3 linked regions of the Neodiprion lecontei genome follow. The protein of the gene in region 2 interacts with the protein of the main gene of each other region in a biochemical or structural test. Links are inferred from orthologs where the notes say so. Each region holds a gene or a part of one and is shown on either strand. Other genes may lie near its edges.

What was found.
Region 1: the proteins of DNA repair protein XRCC1 (region 2) and uncharacterized protein F21D5.5 form a complex in vitro, tested with the Homo sapiens proteins (3 studies listed by BioGRID and IntAct, with this or other methods). The link is inferred for Neodiprion lecontei from reciprocal best matches to the Homo sapiens genes XRCC1 and PNKP.
Region 3: the proteins of DNA repair protein XRCC1 (region 2) and DNA polymerase beta form a complex in vitro, tested with the Homo sapiens proteins (5 studies listed by BioGRID, with this or other methods). The link is inferred for Neodiprion lecontei from reciprocal best matches to the Homo sapiens genes XRCC1 and POLB.

What each region holds. Positions count from the first base shown.
Region 1 is NC_060262.1:30,638,022-30,650,275, reverse strand, and holds uncharacterized protein F21D5.5, read left to right. Parts: upstream 1-4,520; 5' UTR 4,521-4,593; coding exon 4,594-4,801; intron 4,802-5,062; coding exon 5,063-5,559; intron 5,560-5,798; coding exon 5,799-6,044; intron 6,045-6,130; coding exon 6,131-6,202; intron 6,203-6,294; coding exon 6,295-6,573; intron 6,574-6,685; coding exon 6,686-6,967; intron 6,968-7,084; coding exon 7,085-7,146; intron 7,147-7,462; coding exon 7,463-7,697; 3' UTR 7,698-8,140; downstream 8,141-12,254. UniProt on the Homo sapiens protein: Plays a key role in the repair of DNA damage, functioning as part of both the non-homologous end-joining (NHEJ) and base excision repair (BER) pathways.
Region 2 is NC_060261.1:13,221,322-13,231,538, reverse strand, and holds DNA repair protein XRCC1, read left to right. Parts: upstream 1-5,757; 5' UTR 5,758-6,143; coding exon 6,144-7,390; intron 7,391-7,471; coding exon 7,472-7,604; 3' UTR 7,605-7,683; downstream 7,684-10,217. Other genes in the region: kinesin-like protein KIF13A, read right to left, coding at 4,334-4,391. UniProt on the Homo sapiens protein: Scaffold protein involved in DNA single-strand break repair by mediating the assembly of DNA break repair protein complexes. Negatively regulates ADP-ribosyltransferase activity of PARP1 during base-excision repair in order to prevent excessive PARP1 activity.
Region 3 is NC_060264.1:26,376,708-26,387,984, reverse strand, and holds DNA polymerase beta, read right to left. Parts: upstream 5,988-11,277; 5' UTR 5,099-5,987; coding exon 5,032-5,098; intron 4,956-5,031; exon of another isoform or gene 4,947-4,955; coding exon of another isoform or gene 4,931-4,946; coding exon 4,731-4,930; intron 4,602-4,730; coding exon 4,441-4,601; intron 4,312-4,440; coding exon 4,017-4,311; intron 3,932-4,016; coding exon 3,736-3,931; intron 3,659-3,735; coding exon 3,564-3,658; 3' UTR 2,946-3,563; downstream 1-2,945. Other genes in the region: heparan-alpha-glucosaminide N-acetyltransferase, read left to right, coding at 76-197, 272-369, 966-1,073, 1,164-1,443, 1,569-1,845, 1,943-2,067, 2,145-2,328, 2,415-2,596; zinc finger protein 62 homolog, read left to right, coding at 7,227-7,358, 7,849-8,022, 8,691-9,045, 9,229-9,412.

The sequences.
Region 1 (12,254 bases), on a different chromosome or scaffold from region 2:
TAGGGCTTGTAAAATGTAACATAATATGATGTTAGTTCCGTAGTGACTTTCAACCAACGCAGATGCACAAATTCAGTTCTCTTGAAGTTGCTTTCATCACAAAAATAGGTACTTTTTATTCTATGAGAAGACAGTATCTACGATAAAGTTATTTTCCAGTAGAAAAGTTGACGGGCCAGGCAGCAGAATTTTACTGCGTAGAAAATTACTACGAAATGAATATGTAAATCTTCCTTTATAAACTAGCTTGTACCTCCGATTTCAGCTGTGAGTTACTAGAACGAAATGTCTACTTAGCTTCCGTGTCAAAGAGATTCAGTGATTTTGCACTAAGTACATAAATAATAATAATAATAATAATGATAATAATTTAAACAAGGGCGGTATTATCCATGAATTCATTCATCAAACAGTTCACTATAAAGTTGAAGACAACATCGCACATAGCCTTAAAATGGACTATCACTCTTGATTTGGCGACTTCTATTGAAGATGAGTAGTATTTAAAACGAGGATGTTTTTCGGGACGGAGGTTCTTCGTATAGTCTTCAAATGCAGCGAACATAGTTTCAAATGCAGCCTCGCTCTGGTTACCCGCTGAGAATTCTGCGTTATTGAGCTCATGTGTGGATTTATGGCTTTCCTGGTCGATTCGCATAGGTATAAATAAGTTTTTGACGATAACTTCGGATAAGCAGATTACTGTTCTTTGCATGATTACAATTTCACGGTAGATTCCAGAAAACATTCTTTGTAGGATCAATTGAACGATGGCATAAATACTTGAAGTGGCTGATCTTATTGCGACATACGTTGGGATCCGGACAGTTTTTACAGCTGAAGAAGTTTTGTGGAAGACTCTTGTTACTGCTTCTTGCATTGCGTCAACTGCTCTCTTTATGCAAATGTACGTCCTGTTCTGGGCGCGATCAATGATAATGGTATCATTAGATTGTGAATTGGAAGCGTCATTCTTGAACATATCAAATAGGGTGCTGATTCCTTCGGACATCCCATCGTATGCGATCTCTCGTTGCGTTTGTATTTCATTAATATAATGTAAATATCTGGACTGCCTCGTAGAAGTAAGTTGATACACAAAGTAGTCTTGTACAGCGTTGTACTCGGATTTGACTTCTTTTTTCTTATTGAGAAGGAAAGAATATCGTGAAATTTCAACGAGAAGTCGACTCAATTTGTTACCAATCCTAGAAGATGGATAAATTTGCCCGAGGAGAGCTTTGATTCCAGCAAATCCCGTTGTAGCTTCATTCAAAATTGCTTTATTGGCGTGATTTCGTTGTTGTTCGATCTTAATTCCAATTTGGCTATTGCTCGGCGAGTCGCAAACCAATGGCTCGAAAGTAGAATTGACGAAACGGGAACTGTAAGATTTTGCATCCTCCAGGATGGCAGTCAAGTTATCTAGGACGTTGGTACAGTTTTGACAGCAGTATAATTGTATTGCGTTATTCACCGCCGCAAGTAAATTCTTCGCTGCGTCACGTACTTCCGGCCGAGCTACTTCGACGTTGGCGGAAGCATCAGGTTTGCTCTCTACAATTGAGTTAAGAGGAATTTGTGCTGTGCTTAAGACAGCATTGGACAATTTCATATTCATAGCTTGAGCCGTGCTAGAATTATTGCACTGCAGATGAACCTCCTTTCCAGTTCGGACTGCGGCGTTAATTTGTTCCTGTATTTCGGCAATCATATTAAACACTTGATTGAATTCAGTGGAATATTCAAAGTAAGTTTTGTCCTGATTCTCTTGAATTTCTAATAATATATCCGTCTGTTCGGATAGACCGAATACATTATACAACGCAAGAATTCGCAAATTGTTGGTCATGTATTGAAATAGGCTCACAACATCCAAGTATGCACGAGTAGTAGATAATTGGATCTCAGATAAGACGACATCAGATCCATTCTGAGAACCTCTGCAATGAAAGGCCTCAAGTCCATTGAATATGTCATTTATTGCAAACTGGTATTGTTTGGTCGCATTCGCTTTGGAAGCGTCAAACGCACGTTGAATTTTCTCGGGAAACTTTTGGCCGTTCTTGATTACCATCGCGTAGCTTTGTTCCACCGAAGTTTTGGCAGCAGCAAGTGAATCGTTTCTCCTGTGTACGATCGTAGGTTGCGATGCGGTACAATTTGCGGTTTGGTTCAATCTAAGTACTGCAAATATGTTTTTAACTATTTGCTCCGATAAGTTGGTAAAACCTGAAGATTGGCAGGTCATAGAAGAAGTCGATGAAGATTCTCCGAAAAGTGATGAAATTATATTGAGATACAGTAAATCCGCTTTCTGGAAATCGGCAATTGTTTTATCTTCAGCAATATCAATCGTGGAGGATTTACAATCAGATGAACTTTTCTCATTGCAAGAAGTTTTGGTTATCTCCGATTCCATTGCATCAAAAATATTATCAATACCTGATCTAAGGCTGACAGACAGCATTTTTTGGACTGAATCAAGGTCAAAGAAGTTTTGCAACAACTCATTTTTGCTCGATGAATCACTGCTAGTAATCATTTGAAGTACACCGTACATATATTTTGTCTGCGACCTAAGTGGGAGCATTGATTTCTGTCGTGTTTCTTCCAACTTGCAGTAACAGTCCTCTCTTCGATCGCCATCGTCGGAACTAAAACCCGTAAGAATTTCAATTCCATCGTAAACAAAACCAAATACTTTAATGCATTCGGCAGCTGCTTTAGTTATGGCGTTCTCAATAACAGCTTCCATTCCAGGTTGGACTGCGTTCCTTTGTATTGGCAGGAAAGTTGCTCTAATCGCTGTGATGCATGCGGAACGGGTGGCGTTGCGTCTTTCGGCGATTTTAGCCTCCACTACAAAATCCCTACGATTACCTTGTAGATTTGATACTTCCATGATTGAATCAGTCACATTATTAATAAAGTTAGTTGTTTCAGACCGTACAATGCTTCGAGCCATACTATCCAGTGAAGAAGCTTGCGTTTTTGGCCTTGTAGCTATGTATGTGTTTATAACATTATCCAACCCCATCGTTAATGCACCGCTTGCTTTGTCTCGGGTCATCATGATATTGTAGAAATCATGTTGACAAACGTTGTCCGCTTCATCGGATAATTTTGTACCGATATCCCTCATAAGGGTAAAACAAAAATTGATACCTCTTTCCAACTCTAGTAGCGAATACTCTTCGCTTAATTGAATCACACGCGACGAATCACTCACGGATCCATACTGAGTTACAGACGTAGTAGTTGATTTCGTTCCAAAACAGCAAGATACTACCATTGAAAGCACCACAAACATAATACGTTGGTTTTCCATTTTGTTGGAATGTGGCTCTATTCATTTCTAATCGCTTTATATACTACTTTGTATTGTTGACAATATATTTAAATTTATGTCGATACAGGTGACGCTAAGTCAGTCGGATAATTATTTGATAAGCTAGACTAAATTTTAACATTTGAACGTGCTAAGCTGTAACTACTGTTTACGTTTGTATTAAAATTTAAAAGTAGTTCAATGAGTTTCTGTGGCATAAGGAATATAACCCAGTTTGATCTACATTAGATACATATTTGCGTATTGCAAATGTATTACCATAAGAAATTAAAAATTTCATACATGTATGTATTCACCCTGCGTGGAAGTAAAGGCTCGCACAGGCGCTTTTCACGAATACTCAATATTAAAATAAAATACCGAAAGAAACGAAATAATGAAATAAATAGAAAAGTAATTATTGACAATAAAAAATAATAACGCAAGAATTGTTGGGCGCCAGGCACTAACTGTAAGTGCCATGACACTAGAAACGGACAAAAACAAAATCTTAATAAATAAAAGGAAATTGAATAAACCTCAACCAAACGATATGCTCGGCCGTCATGTCAGTGAGTGATGAAGAGGAACGTGGGGGCGGAGAGTAAAAGGGTTACACACGCAAAACGAAATGGTTAATAGAAAAAATAGAAATTCCTTTTTGGGACAGGAATGGCAATCCTCGACTATACTACCTTGCACAAGCGGTCCCGAAATGGTTGAAATTACAGGATGCGATATCTACCACTTCGTCCGCGTCGCGGCGGGATCAGTGCTAATAATCGGCAAAAACCAAAACGTAAGATTAAAAATAATTTGAAAGAACCTTCTAGTAAAATATTTCGCGAGAGGATTGTGCCACGTAAGGTAAGTGTACCAGTTATGATCCTGTCCAAAATATTGACCTGTTTTGGTTGTATCTGTTTGATCCTTAGTTCTAAAATTGGCAAAAATTGGTTTTAGCCGTCGAAAAATTCACAATTTGCGCCGTCATTTTATAATTTTATAGAATAAAAGGATCAGTAATTGGGTCTACACGTGTATGTCAATAACTGGTACACTTGCCTTACTCTGCGTCGTAGGCAACCGGCGATACCGCCGCGTTTATCCAGCTGCCTCCAATCACCACAATCGTGCTCCTACGATCTGCGAAGAATCAGGCGGAAAATCACAAACTCCGGCACGGTGCGTCGCGCGTCGTTGCTGTTGGCTGCTGTTGGCAGCGTTCGATCAGCTACAGCCGCGTCTGACTCGCAAGGTAAATGGATTCCGGCGCGTGTTTCTCGGCTACAACGAAAATCTCCGCGGTTCTCTGTTGTTTAATTAAGATGAGCGTGCCTCCGCAAAGTTGTTACATTTTCAGCGACGACAAATCGCTGCCGCCGATCTATCTTGCTGACGAAACGCCAACTTTCGTCGGGAGAAGCGTCGCCACCCAAATAACTGACGTTAAGTGCTCCAAGCAGCAAGGTTAGTTTTCCTTCGACCATAACCTAGCTTAACATGACCGTAACATCAATCTAAACACATTCTCGCCTCGAATTCGGACCCTGTAGGCCCGTCTCACTCACCAGAATGTTTGATTCAACAAGAAAAACGTCAAATAGAATGGCGAATTATGAACAAATCGTACTTTTTTCATAATCATTGTTTCAAGTTGCTTTATTATTCATTTTTACATTAGGTGAATATATCTGGTGAATTATTATTTTTTTCATGTGAATTCACCAGTATGGCTTTATGCAAGCTATGCGGATTACAAAGTATTTGTCAAACAAGTCGGCTCTCACTCGTCCGGCTTTAACGGCTTCAAAACGCAGAAGAATGTGAAATTTATCGCCAAACACGGAGACTGTTTGGAAATGCTTTACAATAAGTACAAATACCGTATAGAATTCAATCCGCCGCCGGACGAGAAGGCCGAGAGCGGCAGTCTCAAGAAGAGAATTTACGTATCTAGTTCCGATGGTGAAGAGGATGGGGTGAATCTGAGTAAATCAGCAAAAGCTAAGAAATTCAAAATCCTAGATGAGAATATCGACCCAGATATGCAAACTCCTGAAGATCATGTAGAAGATAACGTGCCAGCTAACGGCAGCGGAGAATGCAACCAAACGGAGGATTTGGAATGTCAGGAAAATTCAAAGCCGACAGAGCAAGAACTTTGGGAAGACATTGATAAGGCTTTACTAATATATACAAGCAAGGGTGTCGTAGCACGATCCAAAGTTAGTACGTGATTAAATGAATTTCATAGCCGTAGTTGTGCTATACAAATTGAATCATTAGGTACTTTAGAGTTCGAAGAAAATGAAGCATAGTTTTGGTCTTGAAAATTCGTTAACGTCGCACTTTAAAAGTCAGGGAACTTCCATACAAATAAATATTCATCATTCAATTTAAACAGTAAAAACTTTGTGTTAAACTATAAAAAAAGAAATCTCGAATGTATTTTATGTTTTCAAAGATAGCAGCCTATGATATGGATGGTACCTTGATAAAGACGCAGTCAGGGCATGTTTTTCCCAAAGATCATAACGATTGGCAATTAATTTTCTCTGAGGTGCCCGGAAAATTGAAGAAATTACACAAGGAAGGGTATAAAATAGTAATATTTACAAATCAAGGATCACTTAGTCTCGGAAAGTGGAAACCCAGTGATTTCAAAGTAAAAATTGAAAGGATTGTCCAAAAAATTGGAGTTCCGATACAGGTGCAGTTATGATTTTTATGACCTACGTAACGAAGGAAATTGTAATCCTGTAACCAAAAATAATCGCAAATATTTCGGTAAAAAAGGTGTTCATAGCTACTGGAAAAAGTATATACAGAAAACCGTTGACCGGGATGTGGGATTCGCTGGTTAACCATGTATGTGTGCAAGATTAAATTCAATTTACACTATGATTGATGTATTCGAAAGCTTCTCAGGGGAATAATATTAATGCAATATAAATTTTTAGAAAAACGAAGGAGTAACTGTGGATAAAGATTCCTCTTTTTTTGTCGGCGATGCAGCTGGAAGAAAGAAAGATTGGGGGCCAAAAAAAAAGAAAGATCATTCGAGTGCCGATCGATTATTAGCTTTGAATTTGGGTTTAAAATTTCAAACACCAGAGGAACATTTTTTGGGACATAAGCCAGCGCCGTGGGAACTACCTAAATTTGATCCAATGAAATTGACCGAAAATACAGATGTAACAGACCCTCCTACGGCTAAGCTTAAATCAGACAAGCAGGAGGTATCGCGTCGTTTCAACTTTTCATTTCAGCTATCAGATGTTAATGTATTTGTAATTTTCAACAAAAGTAATTGATTTTTGGCCATGTGACAAAAAATTAACTTCTTAATAGGTGATAATTATGGTCGGCAGCCCTGGTTCAGGTAAATCACACTTTGCTAAAGTACACTTGCCTACTTACCGTCGGATAAACCGAGACACCTTGGGCAGTTGGCAAAAGTGTATTTCAGCATTGGAACAAGCACTATCCGAGGGCAAAAGTGCTGTTGTGGATAACACTAACCCAGATCCAACTGTCAGACAGAAATATATCGATGTTGCCAAGGCACGGGGGATTCCGGTGAGATGTTTCTTAATGGGGACGGAACTCGAGCATACAAAACATAACAACAAGGTACCGATTATTAAATCCTTAATAGTACAAGTTATACAAAGAAATTTAGAATCGATTCACGAGAAGGCGTTGTGGAACAACTTTAAGTAAGTTATAAATCATTTGCTTTTATTATAGTTTCGGCAGCTCACAGACAGCTTACATGACACGATAAGCGACGCAATAATCCACGCGTACATGTGAGTAGACAGTCATATTCATTACATTCTGTTGACAGAAATAACTGAAGATATAATTCAGGTGACGGTAAATGTAGTGTTATGATATAAAGTCGATTAATTGAATGACTAAATTCTATTACAAAAATTCGGTAAAGTTTTTTTTTTTTTTTTTTTTTCTTTCTTGGTAATTGATGCAGTATGAAGTATTTCACTAAGGGTGGCAGCCTGCTTTTGTAGTCTTAACACAGGTGGTTGGGCGAAAATGTGACAACGCCGTTACTATAGCTAGTCTAGGTATATTTGAGATCTGATGTTGTTTCCTTTGTATTGTTAGTGACACAAAGTCGCAAGTAATATGGCGCTGTATCAGATTTGTGAAGCTACTGCTACTGTTGATCTTACGATTCTGCACGAACTTCGACCTCATGAATGATGAACATTACAGAAAGAATTTTAAGCCGCCAACGATGGACGAAGGCTTTACCGAAATCGTCAAGATCAACTTTGTGCCAAAGTTTAAAAACGAAAAAGACAAGAAGCTTTACCAAATGTACCTGCTGGAAAAGTGATTCCTCAAGAATTTTATACTCCTATAATTAACACTTAAGCCTTTTCCAGTAATGTGATTAGATTTTATGTATACGACGATTATTTATATAGTTAATATTATTATTATTCAAGAGTTGAACAAAATTTTGCCATTCTGATTTTCCAAGCAATGGCTATGCGAAATTATTGACGATTCCAGTGTATAGTTTTTTTCAAAAACTGTTTTATAGTATTACTCGAGTAAATAGTTTTTCCTCATTTAATGTAAATTTCCTTTTTTTCTGAAGTGGTTTACAGGGTCGATGATCAATAAGTTTTTTCGAAGTAATTGCTTTCGACGTAGAGATTAAATTTATTGATTTTATTGTGAAGACGGGAACGAAAGTGTTATTGTACAATGATTTTAGTTACCGATTGTTAATCATGATGTAACATCGTGCTGAATAAAAAAAAAATTTCGTACATTAAATCTTCCATATTCATAGTTACTCGTAGTGTGTATAGTTACTTGTAGTTCACCCAATCCTTCTTAGGTATAACATGAAATACCGTAGCGGAATACCGTTTATATTTATATTGTGAAAAACGTCGTTTGCAACCTGAATCGATTAATTAATGTGATTCTCGAATTTTTGATGAATCGTTATAAAATGTGATTTCGCGATTAATTTCGGTTGAGAAATGATGCATCATAGCTATCTTGAAAGATAATAAAATTGAGATGATAATTGAAAAAATAAAAATTGTCGTATTCCGATCGACGATTATAGGGTAAAATATACGAGAGTTAAGCTTGTATACTTTCAATCAAACGCAGAGCCATACACAGTGATATTTAAAGTATTGAAAAAAGAAATTCTCCAAGGTCTCGAAATATCAGAGTTAAGTTAAGACCCTCGGGGTACTTCTGACGTTGAATTCATGTCGTATTCATGCTAATCAGGGTTAAGTCTGTAGCACGATAATGGAAAGAAACATTATAAAAATACTGGGCGGCAGGGTTGGTTCAGTCTTGATATAAGCAGGCGATGCTTCGGCGGCGAATAACTGGAAAAACGCTGGAAATACAGGAATTACGTTGAGCCTGGTAATTATTTTTCGTGCCCTTGGGTATAGGGAAATAGACAGGAGTTTTTCCTTCCCATTCTCCCTTCTTCTCGACCGCCGGCAAGCCCCGAGCGCGGATAACGACGTAGCAAAGAATTATAAAAAGAGAAGGGCCGAAGGGGGATGAGGCGAGATGGGGATGATATTAATGCATCAGGATTTAACCTCCACCCTCGGCCGAAGCATGAATGTTTATTAGTGCCAACATTTTTGCCCGGGGCTCCTTTTTCCCCCGTGATATGCTAACGGCGCTCGATCTGCGAATCTAATCGTCTTCCAGTAATATTCCCTGCCAATTTTCCAAGCACGTTTTTTTACAATTAGTTATTCTTTGTAATTACCTATCCTCCAAGTTCAGAGCGAGACTCTCAATAGCTTTGGTATTTTCATTTGTAAAATTGATAGTTAATTTTCACGGACTTATTTGCTCTCGTGTCTCTCCGCTTGAAAGTTCCACAAAAGACGGCATTGTAACCCCGAAACTTAAAGTTATCCATCACATAAATGTTACATTTCACGTATATCCAATCATTTGGTTATCCCACGCCGATAAAGCAGTCAAGCAATGCTTTTTTTCGACGTAATTTACAAATATTGACAATTTAAACTAAAAACTTATTAAATTCATCAAAATGAATTGTAACTTATATTACTCAAGGATAGTTTAGCTTTTTATTAGTGAAAATTATTGAAATCGATTTAGTAGTTCCAGAGATTACCCCCTACGTATAAACCAATAAATTTGACCTCTTTGTAATTTTAGTACAGATTCAATTGTGTTACACTTCATTAGTTTTGAGAAATTCTATTACGCGGGACCTTCAGCATCAATTCTGCTCTGATTCATTCTCTCATTATTTGGAATTCAAGATTTTATCAAAGGTATATTCATACATATATATATATACATTAGGCGCATTATTGCGACAGTTTGTTCAAGCTCTTGATGGAAGATAAATTTCGATATTCACGCTAATTGTTTTGACAATTCGTGCTGCAGTTGTTTGAATATCCGGCAATCCCATTCAAAGTTGACTCAATACGTATAGGTATAATGCAGTGCGTTATTTATCGCCAGATTTTGCAACAGTATTTGTTTATCATAATTATAACAACCGCTGTGTCTGTGTCTCCTTCGACCCGAATATACCGTACAGTGTTTACAAACAAATGCAGTAACAAATTAAAGCAGTAGCAAGAAACGATTGTAAAATGCATATTGTAGCCTTCTTTCACAGGAGTGAAAGGCATGAATTAGAGGATGGGAAGGATCGCCCCCGTGTCCTCGCATCCCTTGTCTTGCTTGTCAGCCCCGTCGTTCCTTCCTGGGTGTCTAAAGGTCGGGCATATAATGTACGTAAGGATGGCAAATGAGGATGTTAGGCAAATAATGCAAGGCAAACCCGTCCTGAGATATAGTCCGGCATTTGTCCATATTAAGGCAGTGTCAGCTCGCACTCGGTTGTAGGGATGGACGAAAAGAGGGGCGGGTGGGTGGCAGAGGGTCGGAGGGAGGGCGGGGGGGGGGGGGGATGAAAATTATATTGCCACCACGTCACCTGGTATTAGTCAACCTCGCATACCAACGATAACTATGTGTGTTTTGAGCACCCGTTATATCGCTACGTGTCACATTTCTCTGTTGGAAGATAAACGTAAACTCCGTGTGTTGTAATTTCGTTTATGCAATGGACATTGTGCCACAGGGTACTCAGAAAAGGGCTCGCCATCTCGTACCGGAATCCCGTCAAAATTCACCAATTTGTAATAGTCGGTACATATACAATCCTTAGTTCAATGTACAACTTGCGTATAAATATTCGACATTTTTAAAGAAGCGACGCCGTATGAACAATGCATTTTTTGTAGCATCATTAAAATCACAGTTAAATTCTTTCCGCAATTATTTTAATCCATAAATTGCACATGACAAAATACGATTTATGAGCTTGCTCAAAAAATTTTTCGATCATCGATCATTCTTTCATTGCTTGTGTCAAGTATGTTTTGTTACTATAAAATATAGAAACGTTTACCGTCAAAGAAACACCAAGTTTTAACGCATGATCAAACAAGTAATGCTATTTTTCATTCAACAAATTTTCCGACATTTATATTTTTACGGACACCTTGACGGGATCAAATTGAAATAACACCGTATTTGAAATTTCGAAAAATTTTCTAGAACAGCGCGTTCAGATGAGACGAATTTCAGCGCGACAGGTGAAACGAATGTGGATGGCAAACGAAGTAGCCAGTCGGGCAAATAAATCAAGAGGTAATCACGTAATATCCTAATGCTCTGTTAAGTTGACCGAAGGCGGTCCTGATGCGACATCCGATAAAATATAGTACCCTGGTTTTCGTTTTAATTTACCATATCGTCGACACGTGCGTGCTTGCCAAAATGTTTTTTTGATAAGATTAGCTGGGCCAGATTGGCGATAAATGCTCTTCAAATTTTGTACATTCGGTACAGCCCAATTTACTTTATGGTCGATCTTATCCGAAAACAAAAACTTGCCAACCGCGCTAAGTGTTATTCCCCCCGTTCCCCCTTGCCTTCAAACCAACCGACCTGTGGCGGGTGATTTCAACGCGTTTCAAAGCTAATCTAGTTTCTACAAACGCAGCCATCAACTTCATTGAAATCAGCTTATTATTTATTCATAAAACCACGTACCGTAGCTACAACGACTTATAACCTTGTAAATAATTGATTAATTTGAAATGAAAAAGTCCAGTGATAAGTGAAAACTAAAAGCGAACGTGTATAATCTTATTATCAGAATAAAGTAATGTTTATGAAAATTGTTAGTTGCTGGTTCGTTACTCAGACAGAACCCTAAGTACATATAATATACGTATAATATATGTGATATGAGTAATGTATGAAAATATCTTTTGCTGACGCGTTCAAATGTTTCAATAGGTATAAGCATATATATTACATTGTGGGTCATTAAACTGTATTTTACAAGTAATTCGATGTATCACGTACGTATCGTATGATAATTTATCATATATTGTTTGAATAAATATACGCATATGTGTCCATATTATTGTTCTCAATAAAAACGAGTTGTATATGCTAATATTTAATTTGCATGGCCCGCAACGAAATCTTCCTTCAATAAAAAACCATTATGAATATAAAGGTTTTAATCTACCGATTCTATATCTGCTTTCCATTTTTTGCTGTCACGTACAATACGTTATATGGTTTGATTTTTTTTTTTTTTGTTAAAAATTCAGAATTTGTTATCTTTTGTTTTTGCATTTACACTACTTTAATCTATTTAAACAGTTTCTGTACATACAAAGTCAGTTCGAACTGATCGAAAGAGAAAGAAAGATATCGCTTAACGTTGTTTTCACACCGATGCGTTTAATCTTACAAATAGATGAACGAATGATTAAAAATAATTAATATTTACAGTTTTTTCTATACAAGTTTCTACACTTCTGAT
Region 2 (10,217 bases):
AACAAAATCAATCATTTAATATTGTTGCATGGACGATTATACACGAACAGGCATTCTTAACCAATTAAATTTTAACAAGTAGTCAAAATACAGAATTCAACAAACTTCGCTTCGCCACGTCATTTTGCATCATGCATAATTATAAGTTCGACGACTATTCCTTACAGCTTCAAATTCGAACATGTGAAAATATATTTGTTTTTTTTTCTGTCCAGAAAAGTACACAACACAAAACGATTGTTAATGCCTGGTATGGAAATATTTTGTTACGTTGTTATTAGTATTGTTGTTGCTGTCTGACGCAAGTCGGTTTCTCCCTCCTTTTATAGTAACTAGGGGTATAATATACTTCAGTACATATATAGATACGAGCTTCACACTTTCTTTCACATGCTGAGCGTACCTCCAAGCAAGCATGAGATCACCCGGAATAAGAAAAATGTATCAGATGCCCACAATAATACCAGTATCAAAGTTGTAAGATAATCGTTCGCGGGTTACACGGATACATCGTCATTAGCAATTTTTCCATAATACAAGGAAATACAGTTCATACATTAGGTAAACGAAACTGGTTTCAAATTAGGAAAAGGACTTTTTTTAAAACAGAATAAATAAACCTCTTTTGAACAACTTAACTATACTCGTTGACTGCACTCAATATTCACTATGCTAAAATTATAATAAACTAATATAAAAAATAATGATTAGTTCAGTCAGCAAGTCAGATATTATGTATCCTATACCTTCAAAGTATAAATGATTCGATGTATGATATATCAATCGCATTTACCGTATCAGAGCAAGACGAAACAATTTCTTGAACATTAACATTTAACTTTCTACGTGTGAGGGAAAATGAAAGGAAACAAAAAAAACATGCATAAATACCAATCGTGACTCATATTGTTCTTTTATTGATCCAACTATAATAAACATAATTCAAACTAACGAAACGTATCGATTTAGTGCAGCATTTTCACGACGTCTCAACAAGAACACAATAGAAAGGCATATACCTACGTATTCATTGACTGAACTCTACTCATCGCTAAAAGGATGCAACAGCATAGTTCTACATTTACCGACCGAGTCATGTCATTCTCACTTTCCGCTAATTGTAAATTTAAGAGAACTAAGTAGGTGCTGACTAATCGAAATTGGTTTGAATTTTGATAAACATTGATTCCGTTTTTTTTCTCCAATGATTCTAACAAATTTTCGCTTCATTCAAATGCCGAATGATTGAGTCACCTAATTAGTTATCGTCTTCGCTGCTTTATCGCATTTCGTTAATTCGACAAATTTTTTTGCTTCGTTCAACAATTCGTCCCATGGATATTGATTGTGAAGTTCGAATCTTACAGACGCTGAGACTGAATTCTCGTTTCAATGTTATGCCTTTGATAATTGAGATCGATAAGCGTTTTATGGAAATCCAAGATTTGTCATCACTGCGCTGCAGAGTGAGGATAATGCACGTGAACTAACCGACTAATGGATTCTGATCGAATGATTCAGTTGTCTCGTTTTATTCACTTATCAATGGACTCAAGCCCGAGATCACGATAACAAAACGTATCAGTATTTCCGATGTTATTTCGAGTTCGAAAAAACATGCGATATTGTATAATAACGTGAAACTAGTACATTCAGAGAAAAATTTATATTCCGTTTCACGACTGACAAGAATATATATATACTGCGAAAGCTTGAATCATGATAGAAAGTTCTTGCACCAGGCATTCTTAAAATGTTTATACAAGTAAATCCCGTTACGGATTTGACGGGACTACTTTTGGGCCAATAGGCTGTGTTGATTTTTACCAGGACCCACGCACGTATTCCGTAAATCAACCGCCGTGATGATAAAGAACCTTATTTCGGTGCAAAGCCTGCGCTTCAGGTCTTATATCAAAATAACCTTTATCTATCGCTGGTAATATTATCAGTCACTGAACAACTACTTCAGGTTCTCAAAGTCATGAATGATCAAGGAAATAAACGCCAAAATTATAGTTGTAATTTCTCAGATACCAGGTGCTACCCAAGATAACAAAATATCACTCGATAAAACTGAAGATTATGCAGTCGATTATGTGATCTAATTTTCACGAATTTGACAAAAACCAACGTCAAATTTGGTCAATTAAGAAAATTTTTATTGTGACTCTGTATACAATGTGATTAAAAAGAATCGATTTTCTGCCCACCTTTTTTGAATTCTTAAACTGAGAAGATCAACCATTTTTCCCTTGCATATAAATTCAGACTGTATACTATAACTGTAATAAAAAGTAATCTTGCTGCACTTGAATCTGACGTTATCTGTTTTGAAACACCTTGTGATATATACAAATCGCGTTACAGGGTCAGAGTACAGAGCTTATATACTGTGTTGTTACGTAGATATGTGGGTATCCGTGTGTGTGTATGTATATATGGGGATACAAAAGCGGCTATACAGGCAGGGCAGGTAGTTTCGATTCATCAGGTTAGCGCAATTTATTTATTTTTACGTAAACAGTTTACCGCGCCGACATTGAATCACTCATTGTAAAGGCTGGAACAACGTGTCGTCGGTTGCTTGGTCGGTGGCCTTCGGAAGGCAGGTGAAGTGATAATCAGATGTCGCGGTGTATTTATTATACACCATCTATGCCGGACGGACGAGCCACGGGGCCTCAGACAGTCCGCGAATCGTTAAATTCGCATTTTTGACTATTTCATGTTTATTTTACACGCTGACAAGGAGTGTATAATGCTCTCGATAAAGCCTCTAGATGATTGATTCTGCTGAAACTTCTAGGGTCATTTCCTTGGTCTAAAATACGAAGCCTGTGATTTGAACTTTCGTCTAATAGGCCCTTCTTCACGTTAGTCACAATCGATTATATCAGCAGTTTACTTGTTATATGTTGTTGTCTTAAATATTAATTTTCATTGCGCTTTCATGAACCTTCAAAGCGATAGTATTCCACCACAAATCAAGTGCGAACTAATATATTATGTCAGAGTCGTAGTGAAGTAACTGTGAATTTTTAAAAACCTGATCCAAATTTTAAAAGAAGATTAGTACATCTTTTAGGCCAGAAAAACATCCTTAGAAGTTTCAGCAGAATCCATGACCTGGAGGTGTGATACTCTTCTCGTAAATTGAAGTTTGTGACATTGACCAAACGAAACACAACCGAAATTAGAATATTTAACATTAAGATTAGTTTGTAAGAGTTAAGGAATTGAAAACGATTCATTTCGGTTTATTCAGAACCAAATTTATGGTTTACCTAACATAACTGAGAATTCAAAAGTTTGATACAATTGCGATTTTCAATTATTTTCGCTTATTTGTTCACGTTGCACATGGCTCCGTTGTGCTGAACTCTTTCTATCATAAATTCGAATTGAAATGCTCGCAGACGTCTATTCTAAAGGCGGTTTTTTATCATTATTTTTGTAGTATGACCGTTGTCATTGTGCTCGAGGGCTGGAAGAGCACTCTGAAGTTGTCCGGACTGTTGAAGCATTTCGAACTGTTCAAAACACGAATCATTACGCTATTGTTTCGAGCAGTCCGATCGGCATGAAACAGACAAATCGACTAGAATTGCCTACTACCGAGAGCTATGTTCGTTGAAGATTACCAAAAAAAAAGGACAAAGCCAGGCGGGTGACAGAAAGTAGGCCTGACGTCCGTAGACTCATGGATGAATATAATAACTCATCGAAACGTTACGACGCGATTCGCGTGCGTAAAAAATACGCTTTCAACCAGCACCACGCGTCAGATCGGTGTTTTTTCTCTTCTGCCTGAAGTACAGAGGCCGATATAAAGATACAGGGGAAAGCGGTAGCGATTAGTGAATGTGGTTGTGGCTGTTTGCAGTTATTTGTAATCACAAGTGAACGAAGTTTGAAGCGCCGATATAGATAATGTTAGGTTCAAGTTGTGTGTGCGCAAAATAAATATTGTAGGTTGAAATTACGAGGCCTGGATTTCTCGCTCCACACAACAGATCGAACGGAAATGTTCAGTTCAGAACTCAGCTATGCTATGTGGAAAACAATAATTGTCAATCTCCTGGCGATGCCAGTTTCGTCGGTTTAGGATGCGAAATCAATGATATACTTCTCGGAAAGTATCTACGGCGCTGGCGGAGAACCGTCGCCGCCGCCGCCGCCGCGCGCTGCCCGATTGTACAGCGAACCAGTATTTGATTCAGCAGGTTAATGTGGATTTTAATGGATCTTTAACGTCGCGGATTACCGACGCTGCAATTGCAAAATCTGTGGACGAACGTCGCTGCAAATTCTGTTGTATCTTTTTACCAACCTCGGCGATTGAACGGGCGAACCCGAACGGCGACCTTTATTTTATCCGTAGAAGACATGTTTCAGCAGCACCGTTTTTTTTTTTTTTATTTTATAGGGCACGGAACACCGGGACGAACGGATTTGATTCTATTTACACTTGTTAAATGTTCACCGCACTCTCGACGATCCACTACATCATTATCAACCCATTTCGCGACTCTCTCTGCATCTTTACCATTCTTTCACTTAGACACCTCACCGTCCCTACGTCGACGACACATCTCGCCATATTGCTTCGCTTGCCACCCCCGGAGTTTCGGTTTTCGTCGGCCGCGGCTCTGCCTGTTCGACCCCCCACCCGCGAGGCTCGTGACCAATATACGTCGAGCAATACGAAATGAACGTTCTGTCAGTTCTGTTACAGGTTCTGTGGGATTGTAGATCAGATTGGATCATTCATGCTCCGAGAGTATATAAAAATGCTTCCTTTACCGACTGAGTCTTTTTCTTACACTATGATGGGTACATCTAAATATTTTAAGATTACATCCGTAGCCAGCGGTAGCTAACAATTATTTTGGCTATTCTACAGGCATCTTGCCGTAAAACAGTCAGACTTCTATTTTTTCGTAATATTTACACTAGGAGAAGTGAACTCTGGACGTGTAAAATTGAATAGCAATTCACTCCCTCATCCCCTTTGGTTTACTTTTTAATTAAGGAACTTTCCGGGATTCTTATCGAAGATTGTAATGCGTCGCGGAATTATTTTCAACTGATATTTTCGAGTTTTCCGATGAAGTTCTCGCAGATTTTAAAAGCGCTAAACAAGTTCCATAAATTCTGACTATTTCTCATTATACTTTGATGACTTTTACGCGATTCGAACATCAACAGAGTTTTGATAAACATTTTGTAAAAAGGCTCCAGATAATGGCATACGAAGTTTCACGAAGATTTCGGGACAATAGGTAATTTCTCAGGAGTTCAGTACCTTTTCTAACTTTTTCTAACTTTTTCTAACTTTCTTGAATTTTTGCAACAAAACTTTTGAAATGTTCTCAGCATCTGTCGGTGTAATTGTCAATTGATTCTCTAGGAATTTTGTATCGACATTCACTTTTAACTTCAATATCTTGATCGGAGCTCTAAAACATCTGGAAAGTGTTAGAATCATTTAAAAGTGCTGAAAACAAAATTTGAATCATTCGTCTCGTAAATTTCTTGGAAATTTTCACATATAGGTGTTCAATAATAGTGGCAAATGTTTTTTCACCAATTTTACTACAGAAAACATATACTACTCAACCTCTAATTGTAAAAGTGTATCGTGCTAATTTAATAGTATTCAGTATTTCAGAAATAATATGAAACAAAATAGTGTATATTACAACTCTATTGTTATGCATAATTCGCGCTAGAAAAAGCAAGTTAAATAGGCGGCAAGCAAAATTACTCACAGCATAAGAATGGAATGATCAATCAGATTAGGAGCAATTCCTTACCATGCTGCCTTACCCACTGTAAGTAACATAAGGTGCGTTTGATAATCCACTCCAGACCGCCGAAAAACTTATTAGCAGGAAACGAAAATATTTCGAGGTTAGGAACACAACTGACAGAAAGTATGATGAAAAGCAGATGAAGTTTGAAAACAGTAAAGTACAAGTATAGAAAAGAATTTGTTCGGTGTGATGAAGCAGTTTGAATTTTGTTGGTTTCAACGGGACGAATTAAAAATTAACAGTCAGTGAGTTAAACCAGACTGACTGACAATATTTGACAAATTTTATTAATCGAATATTTGGGTACTTAAGAAAAACCAAAAAATGATTGTGAAACTGGGCAAGCTGGTAAGCTGCAGTTCGGAACACCCGTCATTCCCGGCAAGGAATTTGTGCGAACATCGCTCGGGCAGCATCGGGTCTCTGACCTGGCTCTGCGAGGAGCCAGGAATCAAGGAGTCAGAAGCAATATTTGAGCTGGCAGAGCCGTCGCAGATAACAGGAGTCGACATAGGAAACTCACGGTGCTGCTCGGTGAAGATCGCCGGAGCAAGTAGCAATGCTCCAGAGGAGTGGGTGATAATTGTGAGCCATACCTTTATGTCTTTCAATGATGCAGACCACGGTCTGTTCAAGGACCAGGTACAGCTGTTTACAAAAAAGGAAATCAGTGCGGAGGTTCTCAATAGGGTTTTCAATAGGGTGAAGGTGACTTGCTCGCAGCCAGCAAACCCCAGAGTTCTCTTCGGTCTCTCGTTCCTGATTCTGCGCACAGACGATAAGTTGGACTCAGGAAACCTAGACACTTTTGGCAGGTTCAAAGTCAAGGAGGACAAAGGCGACAACAGTTTAGACAAATTCAAGGAAAAATACATTCAGCTGATGAAGCCTAAGCCTAATAGTTTCAAGGTGGAACTCGCCAAACAGATCGAGAGCAATCGCGTTGTCGCTGTCAATGAGAAAAGAGATGAAACTCCAAGCCGTAAAAGACTCTCTCTTAAATTAATAACTCCGGCGAATGCCGCAATTGATGAAAATAAATCAACTGAGACGGACAAAAAACATGAGATCAAAAAACGGAGACTGTCGGACAAAGATGAAAAACCGATGGAAAGTTCTTCTAAACAACACTCCATTGGCATTTTGCAAGAGACACGAACAACGATGTCAGAAAGCATAAATCGAGGCAGACTGAGGTGTTCATTGTGCTTGGGCAATGAGGAGAATGTCTTATGCAAGACTTGTAATTTACTAGTACCTGATAAAGACCAGGCAAATGGAGCTTCAAGGCAAAAACCAGCCAAACCTAAAAAGCCAGTTAAGAATTTTAGTGCCCTGTTCGAAAATGTGACCTTTTCTCTCAGTGGATATCAAAATCCGAAACGGGACGAAATAAGGCGAAAAGCACTCGCCATGGGAGCCAAGTACCTTGTTAATCCTAATGGGCGAAATCACAATTGTACGCACTTGGTTTGTGCTTTTAAGAATACACCAAAGTATAATCAGCTGAAGGGAAGTGTTAAAATCATTGATCAGCAGTGGGTGGAGGATTGCTACGATAAGAAAACGAGGTAGGTCAATAATTGGATGCTCCATAATGCAACTTAAACATTCTTCAGGGAATAAATAAAAGATATTGCTACTTTTCTCAGATTTCCGTGGAGGCGATACGCTCTTGACAAGGAAGAAAAAGACCTGCCAGAAAGCGAGGAAGAAGTGGACGCTGACACAGGATCTACAGACCCACTTAGCATATACGACCAGGATACAGACTCTGATTATTAAAAACTGAAGCTGACATAATGAAGAAAACATGTTTCATATGTTGTATCTACAAATATATATTGGTATATTTCTTTTGAAAGCAACATTCTTTTTTCACTCCCAATTCAAAAACTTGTTTGTAGAAAAAATTGAATCCTATTGTGTAAAGTTTTTCAAGTAGGAGCGTGAAAAAATGTTACTTCTTTAATACAAACAAAACATTGTAATGTACTTATAAGTGATGAACAATTACTCAATCCCAGTTACTCAAGTATTTCACCAGTTGAAAGACAGATAGTGACATTTTTTAATCAGAAAATTATTTTTACACTGTAAAATGATTCACCACGCCGTTGATTAAAGATATATTCTTCAGTCTAGGTCAAGACATTTGGAATTAAAAATTTCAGCAAAATTTTTCAAGCAATTGATGAAGTCTTCAGTACCTAATATGTTTTAAGACTTCTCAAATTTTAATCTGCTTCTAGTTCTAAATACTATGGATTCAAATCATCCTCCAGAAAAATCTTTCCGTTTCATTAACGATAAATGCGCCACAATGTATAAATTAAAACTGAAAAAAATTAAGAATTTAACGCTATTTTTCGAAACATCTGTGAAGGAAACTTTAATTTGAGAAACCCCGAATCAATTAAATTTAGGCAAAATTGATTTATTCGTAGGACTGTAACAGTTACGTGGTGGGGTAATCGCACAGAATTCGTTCGAATTTCACACAATGAAAAAAGCTTTGCGGTAACGCGTTGGCTGGGTAAAAAATGTTAAGGGAATACGATCTCTGAATGTATATTTTCAGAATTTCCCGCTTCGACTAACAGGCCAACAGATATATATATATATAATTGACAACGCCCCCCCTCCCTGATGAACTGGGAGACGCCACGTTCGAAGTGAATTCGAAACTTAGAATAAATACTTTCGAATTTGATATTGCAATAGTACATAGTTCTTCAAGTCATGAAAATTTATGATCCACATGATCTGAACACTCGATTTCCGAAGTAATCCCGTAAAACGCGACTACATTAAAAATGAAAAGAAATGCCAACGATAGAGATATGTCATAAAGTAAGAAAGCTTAAGAGTGGTCTAATTTATGTTACACAGAATCTAGCCTATCACACGTCTAATACGTTGAACATTTAAACCAAGCAAATCAATTGATCCAATAAAACTCACTTATTTCTTTATTTCGCTGAATGAAAGTAATTTTTTTGATGAAAATTTCTGAACTTTTACAAAAAAAATGGATGGAATGGGTTCAAATAAATTATTTCAATATCTTGAATCGTAGTTTTAATGTATCAAAACAAGATAAATGTTTTTTTAAGTATTAAATCTTCCACGTCGATAACATTATTTGTAATTTGGATCCACAAGAGGATGTAGTTGTGAACATCTAGTGCTTTGCTCTTGTTCAAACAATGATGAAGTGTTGTCCCAGTGTCAGTGAATTATCCATGTTACTCCTGAAAGTGAAAAACAGGGAATCAGTAGATATCTCAAAACTTCAATATAAAGATGAGAACTTTTCATCAACTTGTATTCTAGAAAATTAATAATCCATGAAAACTTGTATTGGATTATTTTTCTTTATTTAAATTCTGAATATTAAGTCATAATCAATGAAACTTAGATATGACAAGTCATCGTGGCATAGAATTGAACGACAAATAAAATACTTACAAATGTCATGGTGGAATGATTTATTTGGACCTTGCACGCATCTTCCTCCTCTTACGCTTTAGCCTGCGCATCCTCTTCTTACGCCACTGTTATAATCGAAGAGATGAATTAAAAACGTGAAATTGTTATAATTCAATGTCGAAGTCTTTTAGTTAAAAATCACTACTTCAATAGACGAACAAAAACAAATTAACTTTTGGTCTGTTTCAAACAATAAGTCATATTTACTTGAGAAAAATGAATTCGTTACGTCAATTTTCTGCCAAAAAAACGTAGAAATACAAATTTGAATTTTTTCAATATTCTTTTTATACAAAGTTTGTTGATGTAAATCACGCGGTACATAAGTATGGGTAATACAAATTTTACACGCGTGTGAATACTCAAGGTAGAGATTCTACGAAAAATGATTTTCACCACATTCTTTAACACGTGTTCAATTACTTTGCTTAATAATCCACGCGATGCAAATTTCGAATCACCAATTCATTACTGCTACACTTTTCAAAACACTTGTCTAAAAATGTACTGATTAATTCACCCAGCGCATAGTGTACTAAATAAATGTCGAGACTGGGTTTTGCCGACGCCACGTCGGTAAAAAGCGACGCGTGGATTTGAAAATACGCGTTAATATACGTAAATATTACAATTGACACAAATACGAAAAGCGTTATGGCCCTGAAAAATGTACATTGCACAATTGCACACTTTTCATCACCATTCGAAACATGCGGTAATGGAAAAGGTTCGACAGAACAAAAATAACGACCATTCGAGGTTAACGGAAATACGTAATAATTGGAATAATTAATCTTGAAAATTGGGTGAAACTATTAATATAATTATACTAAACGCACCTTTGCTCTCATCCTGAATGGATAGAGATTTCTAGATTCACTCTAGAAAGGTCCGATAACTTCGGAT
Region 3 (11,277 bases), on a different chromosome or scaffold from region 2:
GTAAGGAATTAAGTATTTTAACTTTGAAAAAGCTATATTGGAACTTGGAAGTTCTGTACGTAAATATTTTTGCAGCAATTTTGGCAGCATTTATGCTCATGTTTTTCTTCTCGGCCACATGGGCACTCGGAACATTTGTCGTTCGCTCCGGACTAATGACCAGATTTTTAAGGAGAGATGTGCCCGAAGTTCAGAGTGTGAGTGGATATTTTCAAGAGAAAGTGATTTATAATACTTTGATATTACTGATGTTTGGTATTTTATATTTCAGGATCTGGGAAGACTGCAGGAAAACGAATCTTCACCTAGGCCTATAGAGAGGGTGACCAGATTTAGCACTCGAGCGAAATTTTTGGACACCTTTCGTGGGTAACGTATAATTATATAATGGGGCATTCAATAAATAATGGCAACTCAACCGATGAGTTTCCTTTTTTTTTTATAACATTCTCCATTTTCAAAAAAGCATTCCTGAGTTTATTTAAATATTTTCCTACAACTATTAATTTTTTATAATTATTCAAACTAATCTACAAATTAGCATTATTTAAAAATCAGAAAAAATTCTGAAAAATTTTATTTTTCATTTCGATTATGCAGACATTGGCCCACGATAGGGGGATTTTTTTCGATTTATTTTCAGCACTTTAAACATCTTGAACAAACAAAACACTGTGTTACAACGTCCCAAAAATGTTTAACAAATTTTTTAAACTAAGCTTATGTGTAAGGGCAACCAGTTTCTCCTAATGTAATTTGTTTCGAAGGAATTTTTTCCCAGTATTAAGATTTTATTGATAATATTCAACAACAGTGGGGGTAAATACTGGTTTTCAAGTAAGACTAGTATAAAAAATAAAATGATTACGAAGCACTCTGTTAGGTACAAGAATCTCAAATTTAGCTAATGGTTCAGGTCAAACCGGTTTTTCCTCATGTAATTCAAGGATGAATTTTTTTCCCAGAATTGCGATTTTATTGATGATATTCGTCAACAATGGTGGGGGTAAATACTGGTTTTTCAATCATAGCCCATGGAATGGAATAACACTGGCAGACTTGGTGTTGCCATTGTAAGCATGAAACAAACCTCTACAAATATTCTTGTTACTTTCAGTCGAAGTACTTTTTTTGATGATCTCCAATTTTGTGATTGATTTTAGCTTTGCATGGATCATGGGATTCACCATAATAATTTCACTGCGTACCCAACTTAGGATATCTATATCCCGAAGCAGGATTATTTTACGTTGTTTTTGTCGATCTGTAACTTTGATATTTCTTGGCCTGGTTATCAACTCACTAACCAGAACAACTGAGAATTGCGTAATTCTGAAACTCAACGATCTCAGATTTCCAGGAATCTTACAATTATTGGGAGTATCGTACTTTATCTGCGCGACGCTTGAAGCTATATTCACCAAGGCGCAACGAACTTTTCAGGTTGGCTCTAAAACTGGTTTTTGAACTGATTGTTTAATATCTATGATGAATCATTAGTCGATCTGCTGTGATGTTTATGCTAATATTAACAAACCATTGATGAGGGAGGATTCTGTTATTCGCAGTATGACCGACTAAAATTTCTCCAAGACATTTTGGATGCTTGGGCGCAGTGGTTGGTTATTATTGCCATTGCAACCACACACTTGCTCCTGACGTTCCTTCTACCAGTTCCTGGTTGTCCAAAAGGATACTTAGGACCAGGTGGACTTCATGAACATGGAGCACATGCTAATTGTACTGCAGGAGCAGCTGGATACATCGACAGAACTATTTTCGGTAACCATATATATATGAAAAAGTCCGGAGTTTATGGAAAACACCCACCCTATGACCCTGAAGGTTCGCACATCCAATTATTGACTCACGAATGTATCGTTGTTACATACCTACAAAGTTCAGACTGCTTATAATGTGCTCCTTCTTATCTCTCATCTAGGAATTATGAGCACCATTTCAGCTGTGTTACTGGTTTATATGGGTGTTCAAGCTGGTAGAATCATGCTAACGTACCACCAAGCAAAGTCCCGTGTGATTCGTTGGCTTTTGTGGTCTGTGGTTACGGTAAGATTACAGCTATTGATCACAGATATACTGAACTCTGAAAAAAACCTGTATGAATTATTTATTATTTTATGCAGGGTATTTTGGCTGGTATTTTATGTAACTTCAGTAAAGAAGATGGTGTTATTCCTGTGAATAAATCGATGATGTCGTTGTCTTATGTGCTCGCAACATCTAGTATAGCATTTGCCATGAATACAATTCTCTACATTCTGATTGATCTTCAACATTGGTGGAGTGGAGCTCCGTTCTTTTACGCAGGCAAGTTACCAACTTTTCTGGTATACTTTATTCTGAATTGTTTTGCATTAAAGTAATACGTGTTGATTTCATTCACTATTTTTCAGGTACAAATGCTATATTCTTGTATATGGGGCATTACTTTACGATGGGAGTATTTCCTTGGACCTTGACGATTAATGGAGTTAGGACGCATGCTAATGTATTATCACTAAACTTGTGGACCACGGCGCTTTGGGCCATTATTGCTTATGTGCTTCACAAGAAAGAAATTATTCTCACAGTATAGACACAACCCTATCTATTCCACAGTTGAGAAGAAAGTTTTGGAATTTCTTCAGCTCAGAATTCCAAACCATTGGTCAAATAATTAAGTGGAATGAAAAAAATGATAATCTAATTTTAAGCCTGTCGTTTTGGGCAATATACACCCACTGTTTGTACTAGCCCACATGTATAATTTACTTTAGCGACTCGTTCCAATTAGTAAGAATTAATTTTTGACAGAAAAGTGTTTGAGTTAATAACCGACCATGTTCGTCAGATTCATTCAAACTGGTTTGACTGATTTTGGCATTATAACACGCTAAGCATGGCGTCAGTCTCAGGGACTGACAGTGAACTTTTTGTTAGGCGAGCGTCGGGTCACGATGTAGTCTGAACGGAAAGCACAGCAAAATCGGCCCCATGGTTAGCGTTTTAATCGACGATACTTATGTTAGATGTAATTATTATTTTACCGCTTTGGACAAATCCCATTTAATTTGGGTAAATGCTTGTTATTGGTGTTGTAGTTTGAGTAAAATATAACATATGTAATTTTATGTTATTCTCCAACACTATTTACATATTCATACGCATGCATATGCTTGCGGTGCATTTTTAGTTTTGTTATAAATATTTTGTTTCAACCAAACTGTTAAAATGAGGTGTGGCATCTCATGATACCGATAATTACTATTGACCTTTCAGTAACAGAGATATAAAGAGAATAGGCTAAGAATTGGACCAATTCAGTTTATATTAAGATATAGTTTCTATTTACGCATTTCGTTTTGTGATACAGAATATGGCTGAAAATATTAGTATTTAATAATTTCATAACAATATAGATCTCAACGCTAATGAGGTCTTGTATGATTTCTACCCAGATATATCGAATTAATAAAGAACGTTATATACATATACGTATGCACTATGTTATGATGCGCATACTTTCATGGCCTGGAATTATCACATTTTGTGAATCTTTGGCATTATGAATTCCTCTCTTCCGGTTTTTTGTATGGAAGTCCAAGTTTACTGAAGATATCCTCTTCACTTGTGATTAATTCAGCATTCCCTGGTAACCCTTTAATAGAAATTGTAAAAGGGTCGATTAATCTAAACTTTAAAGTTGATTGCCGGATTTTGCATGTTGATCCGTACCTTCCAATGTTAGATGTTTCAAGGTATACTCGTTCAACGTAAATTTCTTTTTAAGTGCGTGTGCCCGCATATTTTTATTGAATAAATCACTGCCGGTAAAATATAATACGGCACAGTAGTAGTGATCGCTGGGAGTAACTCTGATATCAAGTCGGCGAAATGGTTTACTCGATTCTGCTGGATCTCGGCAAACACCCTGTTTGAAAGCAATTCCAATTTTGACAATGCTTAAGTCTGTGTTGATGCAAATCAAGATATTCTTTGTTAATATAGCTGCATACCATAAACTTTGTGTTGCCGATAGAGATAGTCTCTGTGATTATTCCCTCCTTTTCAAGATGTTTAACAATATTTTTTAGCATACCGCCTTTATTTTTCGCATCCATACTTTCGGATGTGAATTTTGGATGTGTTATCAAGACGTCAATATCGCCGCTCTCATCCTTTCCACGTCTATAACTACCACAGATTGTAAGTATATACTCTTTGTCTAAATTAGCAATCACTGATTTGAGACTGGTCTCGAGTCGCCGCACCTCTTCCCTTGGAATTTTCTGTTCAAAATCTTGAAAGTACCTGCCAAAAATTGGAAAAAATTATTGCAAATACATCATGAGGAAGAAAAAATTTGAAATAGCTTGATTAAAAATTGTTTCGAGATTACGAAAATGGTAGGGAAGATTCCAAATGTAGTAAAAATCATACTTTAAACCAATTTTCTGATGATGTGTTAATTTATCTTGGTTTTTTCTCAGGTCTTCCAAAGTCTTTATACCAGCATCTACCAATTCCTTTGCCTTCGATGGTCCAATTCCTGATACCCTGGTCATCAAGTTTATAGGAGCACTGATGCCATCAGCATTAATCTGAAAATGACAAATACAAGGTTAAATCCTAATACAGCTGCGTTATGAAATTTCATTGTTCTATAGAGTTTAAGGATATCGATATTGACCTACACATGTTACTATAGATTATGACTGATGATAACTTACTTTTTCAAGTTTTTGTAATTTTCCGGTTTGAAGGAACTCATCAATTTTTTTTGCGATCTTCTCTCCAACCCCTGGCAACTTTTTTGCCTCTTCACCATTCTTCACTCGGTATGATAGTGCAGCCAAAGTTCCAGCAGCTTTACGGTAAGCGTTATATTTGTAGATGTTTTTACTGACATTCCGCTCGTAATTTGCTAGCTCTGCAAATTTTTTCATACATTTTCACTTTGGATAAAATGATCATCAAACTTTCACCCAGTAAGTGCGCGTCAAAGTTCAATGAAACTGAGGCGATGTATACCTATCAGAAAATCGGAGAGATCACTGTTTAGATTGTCTGCGTTGTCGGGTGCCTTTCGTTTGCTCATCTTTCTTGTATTTTGACAGGGATCTCAAAATTATTAATCGCCAATCGCCGTGAAAGCAATAAACGAACTGTCAAATTGGAGTATAACCTCTACACTTTTCAATTGCTACCAAAAGCTGCAATTTCGTAATCTTCTGCTTTTTTCCTGTCGTTGTGCCCTTTTCAGGAATATGAAAATACGTAGGTTTCGACAGAAGTGAGATGACAATTGTATACACGAAAGTATTTGTCGGCGAGGGCGGCTAGGGATACCATGATAGTACACGAACCGTAGAACTGTAAGCAATACTTGTTGTCGGCACCACGGAAGACCTTTGGGAACATTTACCAACATACACTATCCGTAACAGAATTACAGAAGCCCTGTGGCGATATCTACTTATGTCCACTGTCGGTAACAAACGGCAGTATGACACTGTTGGTTGCTGATGATACGGACAGCAGCGCTAAAAAAATATTCATTCAAACACTTAATATCGAAAAAAGTGGATCCAACTTGACATGAAACTAGAATTATTATTGGAATTACAGCATTTGAAGTCGAATAATTGTTATCACATAAGTGAAACTGCTCTTTAGTTACAATTTTTATGAAGAACCACTGCAGCTTATTCGAAATTTATTTTATTTTGAAAGTTCACTAATTAGAAAGTTCCTATTTACTACGTATCTCTTAATCTTTCAGTTGCTGCCTCCTGTCAAGGTCAACCCCAACGTGGAGTTGTTACGACCAAAGCTACGACAGTGTCCTACGAGTTTATACGCTATATTTTGAGGAAACGAGTTGTACAGTAGCATACAGCTGACTGTGAGAACATAGTGTAAGGATTTGTGACTGGGATGCGTGTCAAAACGTGGAATTATCGCGCTTTCATGTCTTATAATGCGTGATAATTCTTATTTAACGTATCGGTGTATTGATGGGTTGAGACCGCAGAGATCGTGTTAATCTAATCTCAATATCGTCAAGTACATATTCTTGTGAGAATAATACATGCAATCGATGAAATGTATAGCGCTATAAGCGAATACATCGGCTGCGACATAATTTTTTGATTACCGCGTCAGAATCGTCCCGACGGAATGTCTGTTGTCTTAAATTATTAATTGTTCGGTATCAGAGTACCGCGGTGGCAGCATTATTGTAGTAGTGAGTTGAGACAAATCGAAACATTATACATGAATTAATTCAACTGCGACGCCGTGGCCAGCAGTCGCCTTCACCGTTGCCACAGTGAGCAATCATTTAGTACTAGACGGCAGCGCCACATCGTAACAGATTTGGCATTTTCTTACTAAATTGGCGGTCGCTTCAAATAGAGTACATAATAAATACGTAAACACGTTAGCGTTTTATTGTTTTTTTCTTTTTTTTTTCATCTCATACGAACATCACAGTTTTGATTTATAGCGTATCGTATGAGTCACAGCTTTGACTTATAAAACTATACAGTAAAACAATAGTTTTTATGTACTCTTACACCACTGCTTAAATATTTTGAACACGATTTGCGCGGAATTCGTCGAAAACATTTCGTCGATTAACAGATCGTCCAACCCAACACAACTCAATCTACAAAATTGTCATTTAATGAATTGGTTGTTTGCCTTTGTTACTCGACGCATTATTTTTTCTCAACAACAACGCAACATTCTCCAGTCTCCAGGTGGCGCGATAGTCAGGAGTTTACTTTTCCAAATGAGGGTTTCATACGTTTCTGAGTCATTTTCGTATTCGGGTACTGAAATTGAAAAATGTAATAAATACTTTAGAAACGTATCAGATTTAGTACAATGATATTAAACTAGTGACGTTCGTCGCTAACAGTCACCAGCGCGATTATCGCCGTTTATCGTCCACAACCCGACGTTCGTGACACTCGTTTTGGCGTCGAGACGCCTCGGTAAAGCTCGGCAAGCATCGCAGGCCAATCGATAGCCGGTTCCCGGAAGGTTTCGGAGGGGGGGGGGGGGGGGGGATGTCGTCAGTGTCGCCACACTCCTCAACGGATCCGGCAGCCCGGCACTACTTGCCTCCCACCGCTGAGCTTGGTCTCTGTTGAAAGTTCAAGGAACGAACGCGTCTACGGGCGCGGCTTGCGTCTCGAAGTGGCGTTTTACGTGGAACAATGTCGTCCCTCGACTATTTGGATTTGTGCAGATTGTGTCTAATGAAAGATCGTGTGTCCGTACCGATATTCGAGGGTGAGGGTGATGTCAGGCAGATTTTTTTAAAGATTGCGGCCTGCTTGCCGGTCAAGGTAAGCCTACAAACTACGCCATCGCTCTATGCCAGCCAATATACGGTCGCCATTTTGTCACGGTTATTGTTTCCTACCATTTACAATGAATTTATCGATTCCGTATGTATCGAGTACACAGCGTGGTTCTCGATCACTGTTCCCGCTATTACAGTTTCTTATCTCGCACGTGAAATGCCGCTTCGGTGTTGCTGTTCTGTGGTTGTAAAATCGATCCTTCTTTTTCTCTGCTCTGCAAACCCCCCCCCCCCCCCCCCCCCCCCTTCTTCGCCCTCCCTCCTTATTGCTCGTGCCGCGTCGTTACGGCAGGCGGTCCGACGCCATTCCTAACAAAGGGACGCTACGGCGTCCCGGACTCTATTCCTGTGAATTATGTATATAATTCTACTTTAATTGGCGAATGCTGTTCTAACAACTATGATATGTACAAATAGATGAATACAGACGCGATTCTGAGCGAACTGCATTTTACAAATGAATTTTATTACAGGTTGCACGGGAAGACAAGTTACCTAAAAAGATATGCGACGATTGCGTTTACAAAGTAGAATTACTTTACCAATTTTGGAATACAACGGCAAACGCCGAGAAGCAGCTACTCCAATGGCTTGGCGAAGTTGGCTTGGAGGACAAGCAAGGCTATGTCACTGGTGTCCTAAATCCGGTAATTTAACTCATCTGCCCTAAACACAACAATGTTGCTTCAGTTTGACTGTGTTTGAAACACGAAATCGAACACATGACAATCTCATATTTACTCTTCTATTTTTTTCTTGTTTACCTTGACAATCGTAAACAGTGACCACAATATTTTGGACACGTATGTTTATACTCACTTAATTAAACTATTAATGCAGTATAATTGTTGAGATACATCTTCTGCCAACATTAGGGTACAATTAATATCAAGTTTATCTTTTTTTATTGGCAAGTGTACTGGGTTGTTCATTTGAATGGCTTATGTTCATTTAAATTTTTGTAGTTTTATTTTGCACCAAACTTTTTACTATGCAATTCGAAAATTTTATCAGTGGTCTTGTATTAGACATGAACTTTTAGAGTGGCAAAAATTAAAAGAGGTGTTAGATCAACATGTATGTAGAGAGATCGTGACACTGCTACTGAGAACGTTCTTTTAAATACAAAATAAATTTTATCGAAATATTACAATCTTTCCCAAATAGGTATAGTATCTGCGATCTGTTTACAAACTCAATCAAAAGCTTGTGCAGGCATTTAGTTTCACATTCAAATCTAATTAACCCTAGTTAATCATTGTTGGTTATCCATAATACATAGTTTTAACAGTATGATTATGACTTTTGTTCGCAGAGTACAATGAAACAAGAAGAAAACAGTTCCAGCGGATTGGGAGGCACAGCAATACAGGTGACTGGAGTTCAACCTGGCATTGGTATAGGAGTTATAGACAACATGGGACTAGGCATGCCGCTAATTATTCCCAGCTCAACACAGCAGCAATTAACTGCTGTGCCAATGGATACAAGCACTGGACCCATCCAACCTATCCAACCTATCCAACAGGCTGTACCTGGTCCAAGTAGTCAACCTGGACATGAACAGATTGCCGAGTCCCAAACTAATGCAACAACGCATCAACAGGACGAGGAAGAGGAAACTAGCGATGATGAAGAAAACTCTGACGATGATTGCGATGGTGATGATGGTACACGAAGAAATTCATTTAGTTTGCCTAATAGTTTCAAAATTCCTAGAATAAGCTCAATGTTTTTTGAACTTATTTCTAATCTTAATAACGTACGTTGTATTCAACTGACAAGTATGGTGTTCTGATTTAATTATTGATTTCGAGTCTGTGTTTAATTTGAACATTTTGATTTTAATACAGGTCTACCTGTCAAGGAAGAAAGCGAGGAAGATCCTAGTAATAGTAGAACGATTGAACCTACGACGTTTGTAAATGTATCCCTGGCTTGCGACGAAGCGGGTCCGTCCGGCTTGCAGCAGCAAAAAATCGTGGAAATGCCAGAAATGGCTATGCCCCAGACAACCGACGGTGATCCCAAGTCTGGGTGAGTTTTCCTATTTTTTCTTCACTGCCCTTGCCATTGAGAGCCAAAGGTGTTTCGTTGTGAAATCCACAAACATGCGCAAACACTCACTCTTCTAAGTAATGAGGTTGTTTATTTTTCTGAATGGGATTCTGATGGGATATGTATTGGAAACTTTTTTTTAATCATCTTTTCAAACCGAATAGGTTTTTCTTTTGTACTTTCCATGGTTCGTGTTAATGTAAAATTGCGATCAAACAACCTAGATGGGTACTCTGGAGAGTTAGTCACCTTTTAATTGTTAAGGTGCACAGGGCACGAAATGAATTGTGTCCACCTACACACCTCACAACCATCTTTGGCTCAGGCCTTTAGCAATTTGTTCAGTTGGAAAATACTCAGTTGAGAAAAAAAAAAAAGATTATGATTATAGCAATGCTTTGTACTTTTTTTTTTTATGTGTCGAGTCTGAATTGTGTGCTACAAAATTAATATTCAGGCAATTAATAAATTGGAACTACAAATTGCTAGATGCTTTTTATTATAACATATATGATGTATGCGTAGTATAAGAGCATGTTTTTGTATGCTTATATGAAAGGAAATCCGTTGCTATACAGCATAAATAATGTAAACCACAGATTGTTGGTCAAAATTTATTTTTGATCGGGTATGAGAATATTTCAAATTTATGTAAGTTGATGCTGTATATGTGAATATGCATATTCTTTCATAAGGGTATACTCAGTTCCCTTTTTGTTATTTTTCTTTCGATGTTGAAATTCTTGTTTCATGGACAGAGAAATTTCATGTCTAATCCATAGAGAATTTCGATTCTGCCAGCATTGTATCCAATTGTAAATGCTCTCTACTTGATTGTTCTTAAAATTTTTGTCTGTCCACAAAACAATCTTATATACGTGTTGTCGATATAACATTACCACGCTTATGTAAGGCACTCAATGCCGCACGTGACCAAATTTGGTCGAGACACTGTTTTCTAAATGATGAGCTTTGCCGTGAAAATTAATATAGATGCGATACAGTCGTACCTCGATAGCATTGCGAAGAATATCCCACATGTAGGTGTTGCGATTTAGATCAACGAAATTTGATTTATTTTTTGCATACACAATTGATAAATATTCCCTATTTTTATGGAGTTCTCGTGTGTCTCTCCTGGTATATCGTGTGTGTTGGAAGTGTGTTGAAAATTTTCAAAGAAGAACGATAGCTGAATTTTCTCTGAAAATCTGAGACAGCTCATACTGAAAATTGAAGAAAGAAGAAGGTATTCAAGATATCTACACAACATTGATAATTGTGTCATCAGCAATTACCAAAAATTTTTGACGGATCTTGGATGCAGACAGACGTATCATGTCAACATTTAGAAAAAGGCGAGTATGTTTTTTATTCATTTTAGAAGTCCTGTGCCTTTCCTTTTCATCAATGGTTGCTACATTTCACATATTATGTTACTTATATCTCGATCTTGTACAGTCTGAGGGTTATGAAAATCATGTTTATTATGTTTAAATAATATAGCTTGTGCCATGTCGTGTGTATGTGCATTGTTGCTGCATAATTGCGCAACTTCTTTACGCTATCATCATACACCTACTGTTTTTACACAATGGAAAATGCGATAATCCGTGACATTTTGTGAATCTTGATCGAGCTCACACTATTAACCATTAGATACTATAACATTTCGTGACATATTTTTAAAAACTCTTGGAAACGTGCATAAATAATGAAGTGATTGGTGTGGTTGCAAAAATCATATTCGGGAGTTGAGTGATGAAATATGCACGAAGAATTCATCCTTTGATTTGGTGTACCGTATAAGAAGAAGATGTTAGACGTGCTTCAGTTACTGCAGA